2 linked regions of the Caenorhabditis elegans genome follow. The protein of the gene in region 1 interacts with the protein of each later gene in a biochemical or structural test. Each region holds a gene or a part of one and is shown on either strand. Other genes may lie near its edges.

Evidence for each region. Proteins that work in one complex are often made in the same cells at the same time.
Region 2: of the proteins of chk-2 (region 1) and sun-1, one has a biochemical effect on the other in vitro, tested with the Caenorhabditis elegans proteins (one study listed by BioGRID).

Annotation. Positions count from the first base shown.
Region 1 is NC_003283.11:19,914,272-19,918,023, forward strand, and holds the start of chk-2 (Serine/threonine-protein kinase chk-2), read right to left. Parts: upstream 1,753-3,752; 5' UTR 1,703-1,752; coding exon 1,662-1,702; intron 1,609-1,661; coding exon 1,472-1,608; intron 1,416-1,471; coding exon 1,285-1,415; intron 1,242-1,284; coding exon 1,103-1,241; intron 997-1,102; coding exon 860-996; intron 511-859; coding exon 403-510; intron 52-402; coding exon 1-51. Other genes in the region: Y60A3A.19 (Protein YIPF), read left to right, coding at 2,298-2,412, 2,482-2,632, 3,680-3,752. UniProt on the Caenorhabditis elegans protein: Serine/threonine-protein kinase which is required for checkpoint-mediated cell cycle arrest, activation of DNA repair and apoptosis in response to the presence of DNA double-strand breaks.
Region 2 is NC_003283.11:13,191,811-13,195,562, forward strand, and holds the start of sun-1 (Sun domain-containing protein 1), read right to left. Parts: upstream 1,729-3,752; 5' UTR 1,718-1,728; coding exon 1,336-1,717; intron 1,290-1,335; coding exon 1,186-1,289; intron 1,143-1,185; coding exon 939-1,142; intron 895-938; coding exon 475-894; intron 428-474; coding exon 116-427; 3' UTR 1-115. Other genes in the region: F57B1.1 (G-protein coupled receptors family 1 profile domain-containing protein), read right to left, coding at 2,185-2,334, 2,391-2,474, 2,521-2,673, 2,718-2,898, 2,944-3,073, 3,117-3,240, 3,296-3,439, 3,713-3,752. UniProt on the Caenorhabditis elegans protein: Involved in centrosome attachment to the nucleus. Required for zyg-12 localization to the nuclear envelope. Together with pot-1, it is required to anchor telomeres to the nuclear envelope in embryos.

The DNA.
Region 1 (3,752 bases):
ATATGAGTACTTGGCGACGGTGATCCAATCGTAAATTGCAACGATATTTGGCTGAAAAATTAGAATTTTTAGGGTTAAAATGGCATTTTTGAGCATTTTTAACGCGAAAAATCACTTTTTATCGATAATTTTAGTGAAAAATGGCTCGAAAATAGGCCAAAAACCATTGAAATTGAATTAGGAGCGCCCAAAAATGTGTAGTTTGTAGTGTTAGCAGCGCCCAAAAACTGGAAAATTCTCATTTTTGAGCATTTTTGACCAAAATTACTTCAATTTTCGCTTAAAATTATGCTTTTTTGATCGAATTTCGTGAATTTTCAGCGAAAAATGCGGAAAATTTCGATTTTTCAGCAATTTTCCGTGTAAAAATCGATTTTTCAGCAATTTTCGTGTATTACTAACATGGCTGAGCTTCTTCATAACTTCAACCTCATTTCGAATATCTCGAGTTTTAGCGATTGCTCGGCTGCATCTTGTCGAAAATTGTGTGTTGAGCTGTTTAATAGCCACCTGAAACATGAAAAATTGATGATTTTTCCGGGAAAAAATGGCTGAAAATCGATTTTTCCCACAAAAATTGAGGGTTTTTATCGATTTTCCGTGAAAATTTCAAGGTTTTCGGCAAATTTTCATCGATAAATGTGTTTTTCCAGTTAAAAATCGCATTTTTCAGAGGAAAATTTGAATTTTCACAAGTTTCCGGTAAATTTTGGCGGTTTTTAGGTGAAAATCAGCAAAAAAAATGGCTGAATATGCACCAAAACTGGCGAAAATTCACAATTTTCGGAGATTTTATCGATTTTTCTGGAAATTTATCGATTTTTCTCCAATTTTCGGCATTTTCCCACGCCGCCCGTACCACTGATCGATCGGATTTCTTGTATCCGAGCAAAACTTTGCCAAAACCGCCTTTTCCCAGCGAATGGCTCGTCACGTGGTATTTTTTCGTCAGTTCCTCCGGATGATGGTCGGCGTCGGCGCTTTCGTACACGAAAACTGCAAATTTTCGGGGTTTTTTTGGGAAAAATCGACGGATTTTGGCGGAAAAACCCGTTTTTTTGGGCAATTTTACCCTAAAGCTTTAAAATCGTCAAAAACGCACTGATCAGCGCTGGAATCCCAATAGAGATCAAATCTCCGTTCATTAGCTCTCTGGACAGCCCTTTTCCGATCATTTCCTGATTTACGAGGGTCCCGTTGCGTGAGTGATCGTGTAGATAGATTCTACGCGTTTCTGTGTCCTGAAATATTGATTTTTTTGGCGATTTTTCAGTAGAAAACTACTCTATCAATGGAAAATTGAATTTTCGAGATAAATCTGTAGAGCCCGACGTCTTTGGCGACTTGAGAAAAGTTGAAATTCGTCGGAGCATCATCCGAGCCGCGTCCGCACACGAAATGATCGTCTGCCAAGTCTGGAAAATCGATTTTTAGCCGGAATTTCGTGAAAATTGCGGGAAAATCGACAAACCGATGGAAGAAATGCCTCGGCGGACGCCGACAAGCTTCGCGAAGGGTTTTGAAGCAGCACACTGTGATTCTCCGACGACAAGATCCTCGTCGACGGGCATCGTGTCGTCTCGGGTGACCGGAACCACCACGATTGGCCTAAAAAATTGAATTTTTTGCGATTTTTGGGGCAAATTTTGGTGATTTTTTACTTTTCCGCCGAGCTCCGACGTCTTTTTGTCCCGCGAACCATGGAAATCGCTGAAAAAATGGAGAAAATTGCGAAAAAATGGAGAAAATTGCGAAAAAAACGAAGAAAATTGCGCGAAAATTCGATTAAAAACAACTAAATCCTAAATAAAATACGAAAATACGAAAATCGCGGCGAGACGCGGCGAAACCCATCGATAACGAGTACTGCGCCTTTAAAAACTACCGTAGTTTTTTTAACGAATTTATTGACTTTTTCATTGGTTTTAGACTCAAAATCAATAGGAAAGTCGATTTTTTTTTCAAATTTTTTGTAAAGTTTTTTGAAAATCGTGAAAAAAACAACCAAAGCTTGCAAAAATTGAGTAAAAATTAAAAAATCACAAAAAAACATTAAAATCGCGGCGAGACCCATCGATAACGAGTACTGCGCCTTTAAGAACTACCGTAATTTTTCAATGAATTTTTGGATTTTATTCAGTTTTTCCGGGTTTTAAAACGTTTTTAACGTAAAAACCTGTTTAAAATGGATTTTTTGCATGAAATTTGTCGAAAATTTGAATTTTCTTCATATTTTTCTCGAAAAAATCGCTGAAAACCACCTAAAACCCCCGTTTTTTTTTCAGAATTTGGTGAAAATGGACTACCCGGGCACTGGAGTCAAGCAACCGGAGGTCTCTATCGACTTAAATGGCTTTTACTCGTCGAATTTCGAGCAATTTGAGCACCCGGACCAGTCATCTAACGCGCCAAGTACGAAAAATCTGAATTTTTAGGCCAAAAAACTAGAAATTTCCGTAAAAAATCGATTTTTTTTTGCAGATTCCGGCTCAATTTCAAGCCCGACTGGACAAATTTCAGCTCAGGCTTATCGTCGTACTAATGCTGGAGCCGCTGGAAAATTTATGGAGAATAGTGGATTTGGGTGGCTTCTGGAGGTCAATGAGGAGGACAGTGACCAGATTCCACTGCTGTAAGCGCCAAAAATGATGGAAAATTGGCTACAATCGAAGAAATTCGAAAGAAAACGGAGAAGAAGTCGAAAAATTTGAAGAAAAATGGGCAAAACCCCCTTTTTTCGACAAAATTCCCGAAAAATTGCAAAAATCCTAACTTTTTTTGGTTTTCCGTTAATTTTTCAAGTTTAAAACCTAAAAATTCAACTTTCCCGCGGAAATCTACCCCCAAGCCCCATTTTTCAGCGTTTTAGTGCAATTTTGCGTCAAATCTGGTGTTTTGGGTTACTGTAGCGTGGTGTTTGCGGACTTGACACCTGATTTGACGGAATTTTGCACTAAAACGCTGAAAATTGGGGCTAGGGGGTGAAATTGCATGGGGAATTCCAATTTTTTAGTTTTAAACCGCAAATTTCGACCTAAAACTAGGAAAATTCGAGATTTTTCTGAAAATTTGAAAAAAACTAGACTTCAACTCTGAATTTTTCAATTTTCGAGTCGATTTTCAGATTCTCCGTGCCAAAAAACCCCTAAGCCTCATTTTTCAGAGATTTAGTGCAATTTCGCGTCAATTCTGGTGTCTTGGGTTACTGTAGCGTGGTGTTTGCGGACTTGACACCTGATTTGACGGGAAATTGCACTAATGAGCTGAAATTTGAGGTCAGGGGGTGAAATTGAATGGGAAATTCAAATTTTCTAGTTTAAAACCGTAAATTTTGATCTAAAACTGGGAAAATTCGATATTTTTCAAAAAATTTCGAAAAAAGTTCAAAAACTGAGTTTAAACTTCAAATTAATCGAAATTTAAGTCGATTTTCGGTTTTCCCAGCCAAAATTACTCCTACACCCCTATTTTCAGCGATTTAGTGCATTTTTGCGTCAAATCTGGTGTGTTGGGTTACTGTAGCACGGTGTTTGCGGACTTGGCACCTGATTTGACGGAATTTTGCACTAAACTTCTGAAAAATTGGTTTTCGGGGTGAAATTGCATGGGGAATTCGAATTTTTTTTTTTTTTTATTTTTCCAAAAAAAAAAAAATTTTTCAAATTTTTTCCATTTTCAGCGAAGAACTGGACATTGACCTAACCGATATTTACTACAAAATCCGTTGTGTGCTCCTTCCGCTGCCATATTTC
Region 2 (3,752 bases), 6.7 Mb from region 1:
AGCGGGACAAAACATTTGCAAACGATTTCAAAGAAGCAATATTGAGATTCATAGTCAGTGGGGAACGTGAAAATGATATAAAAACAAGTTGGGCAGGAACAATAATACGGCGTTTCTATGCGGTTTCTGATACAGAGTTAACAATTGCAGATTCCAACTTTGATTCAGTTCCATTATCCGTCATTGGTTGCGTTTCCTTTGGTGGATCGACTGGTTCCCCGTAAACACGAATCAAATAAGCACATGTCTTTGGCATATCTCCATGATTTTCGCGGAAACGGAATTGCACGTGATTGATCGGTGAGTGATTTTGAATTGTTGGCACCGAACAGAATTGTTCTTGCTCGTCATAACTTCCATCACGTTCCTTATATTCACAGTTGGCGACAAGAGGCTGCCATTTGGTGCAACATGAGTCCGTGCATGCCTGAAAATATATAATTAGTTACTGAACACAATTTTTATATAGCTTACCACGACATCGTAGAGCTTCGGGGCATGATTTGGAACAATCCCGCTCCATCTGACATGTTGATACGAGACACTTTTCGGTATGACAAATCTAGCGAGCTTCACGGTCAAGGTCGCACGTTTATCGTATGTGCACCACGCTTCTCCTGGGGATAGAACGTCGCGATCAAGCAAAGCATATCCCTCCTGGAACGTTCCGAAGTATGACATGAAATCGTAGAAAAATCCATCTTTTGCAGAAACTGGACGTGATGAACAAGAATGATCGATTGATGCACCAATAAGACTGTTGGCAACATTCACTCCAAGAAGTGCTCGGCGTGTTATGTGCATTGGTTGAAGCTGGCTAGAGGGAGGAAGCGATGCAGTTGGTGCGGTCTCTGGAGCCTTTTCTGGTGTACTGTGGATGATCTTTGTGCTTTTCTGAAAAATTAGCATTGGGAAAATATATTAAATTTGAAAATTACCGCATCATCGATTTCCTTTTTCATTTGTTGCAAAGCATCGCTAATTTCTGCTTGCCATAATTTGATCTGTTTGAGCTCTTCGATTGCCGACTCTTTCCATCCTTTGCTGTGTTCCAAAACGTTTTCCAGTAGTTTTTCCAAATGGTCAGTTTTGAAATCGAGTTGTTTATCGTGCGCCGAAAACTCTGCTCGGAGATTGGAAATCTAAATAATATAAAAATTTATTCTGACTGTTCATTCATTGTACCGTCTGATGAAATTTCTGTTTTTCGGACGCCCAATTCGCGTCTTTATCCGCGTAGGATCCTTCTGAATTATGATGCGTTCCATCGAATAAACAATCACGAGCATCTGAAATTATTCATTTAGATACCCACAACACGTTTTCCCGACTCACACTTGTATAACATAGCAAAAAGAACAACAGCCATAAGAGTACGTTTAAACTGGGCCCACGTTGGAACAAAACGACGCCGAACCATGCGAATGCGATATTCCAGCCAGTCATACCACATTTCCTTCTTCATCGAAGTGATTTCTTTGTAGCTAAAATGCTCCTTGTAAATAAATTTCGAAGAGTTCAGATCAATTTCAGAATCGTCAGCCGACTCATGAAATCTCTGAATGGTGCCTGTAATCGTTCCAGGTTGGGAATCTCGCCGAGTAACTGGAGTAGATGTGTCTAGCGGCTGATGAACTCCTGTTCGAGATACAGAACGGGTAACTGGAGGACTGTGGCGATTCGAAAACTGCGGTGAGATGGTGTGTCGCAACGCCATACCGAGTAGATCTGGAAGTTTAGAAAGAAATTGAATGAAAAAAGCCTGTGCGGAATTGTAATTTGGAAATTAAGAAACAATGCAATATTTTCAAGAGCGAGAAAGTTGTTTCAATTAAAATAATTATGAATTAATTGAAGTTTAACTGCACTTTACAAAGCATAAACTTTTTAAATGCTTTATATTTGTCTTAAAACAAAAAATATCCGAACTGAATTCGAAAAATGAAAAAAAAAACCAGAAAATCGAAACCTCGAATTCAAGCAGCCCCGCACTGATTGCGGCAATTCTCAAGATCGCGTCGAGACCCTCACCGCTGACGTATTGCACCTTTGAAAGTTACTGTAGCAGTAAATATGATTTGGCAGGCACAGAAATTTTTTGCGAAGAGTTTGTTCTCATTAAAACACGAGTATTTATTCTAATATTGGCAAAAACATTTTAGAAACTGATTTTAGTAATAAAAATTAAATCGCTCTCGAAGTTTGCCTTCTCTGCTGTGAGTTTGAATTGGCTTGTGAAGTAGTGAGAGAAACTCTCACAGAAACGAGTTTCCGAATTTCTTTTGAAGTGAAAAAGAAGAAGCACGGCGTTGCAGCTCCAGCGCATATTTCAGTCTGCAATACGGATAATTTTTCAAGATTGCTATGGAAAAATTAAAAAAAAAACGAACCGTATTAATAATCCGTTTTATCAAAAATGCAGTTGCTATTTCAAACTTGATAGTTTGGCATAATAGGAAAACCGACGATGAAATCTGGAAATTTTTTTTTTCATTTTTTCGTTCTTAAATCAAACAGGACCTGAAATAGGCAAAATATAAAAACCGCCTGTTTCAAAATAGTGAGCTCGTATTTGTTGAGTGCTGCTTTTTTCATTAAAATTATTTTAATGATAATTGCAATATATATTCCCAGAATAAATATTGGAAGAATAAATTGTATTAAAATTTCAATCTGAAAGTGTTTATTGGACTGGATATTTTCATTATTGTGCTTACAGTTTGTACAATTGTCGGTGGAGCAATATTTTTAATTCCACTACTAGTTTCACAACTCAAAACATAATGTTTCATTAAAATTCGTTCATCATATTCATATTGGCAGTTATTCATAATCATAGACACTACAACAAAAGCAGACAATACCCATACCATTCCCATCCAAAAGTATGTTATCGGTCTGGGATTAGTAGATTAAAATTCCAAAAATTTCAGAATTCCCTACTTTTCAAAAGCAATATCCGTGTGTTTTTTGAAAAAGAACACAAACATCCGATGTATTGCAATTATCAAGTTTGAGAAAAGTATTGCATTATGACAGAAATCGATTACATTGGACATGTAGTAGAATGAGGCTGAACAAAAAAAATGATTCAAAATTGATTCAAAAAAAGTTACCGGATTGAACGAATTCCTTGGTTATCAAAGCAAATAATGTCGCTGGTACATTAATTAAAAAGTTTAAAGAAGACATTATGAAAACAGAAATGGTCAGTTGAGTTAAAAACCAGAAAAATATCATCTGAATTTTTTCAATAAATTCCTTGGAAAAAGTTATGTAAAACGTGTTTCATTACTTTTTTGAAATGGCTCCAAAGGATCACAGAAAGAGCCAAGAAAACTCCAGTCAAAATAGTTGATGCAAATGTGGACATAACAAACAAGGTGATAATAAAATAATAGAGCCCATCCTTATCTTCTGGTGGAATGTTACCAGCTACCTTACAAGTTAAACATTTAATCTGCGACAACTATTTCATTTCAGCTAGTGTTTTTTCAAGCTCAACTGGTTCAAAACTGAATACCAGCGAAATTTTTCGAATTATTTTTTGAAAAGCTGAAGTTGTGGTAATTTACCAAAATTTTAACAAAGTTCAATCTAAAACATATTGGAGTTTAGAAATGATATTTGCAAAATTTTAAAAGATGAAAAAAGTTTTGAATTCAGGTTTCACCAATATTATAATTTGAAAATAGATTTTAGACCAACTGACCTCTCCAAGAACCGTGTCTTTTAAATCAGATAAATTCTTT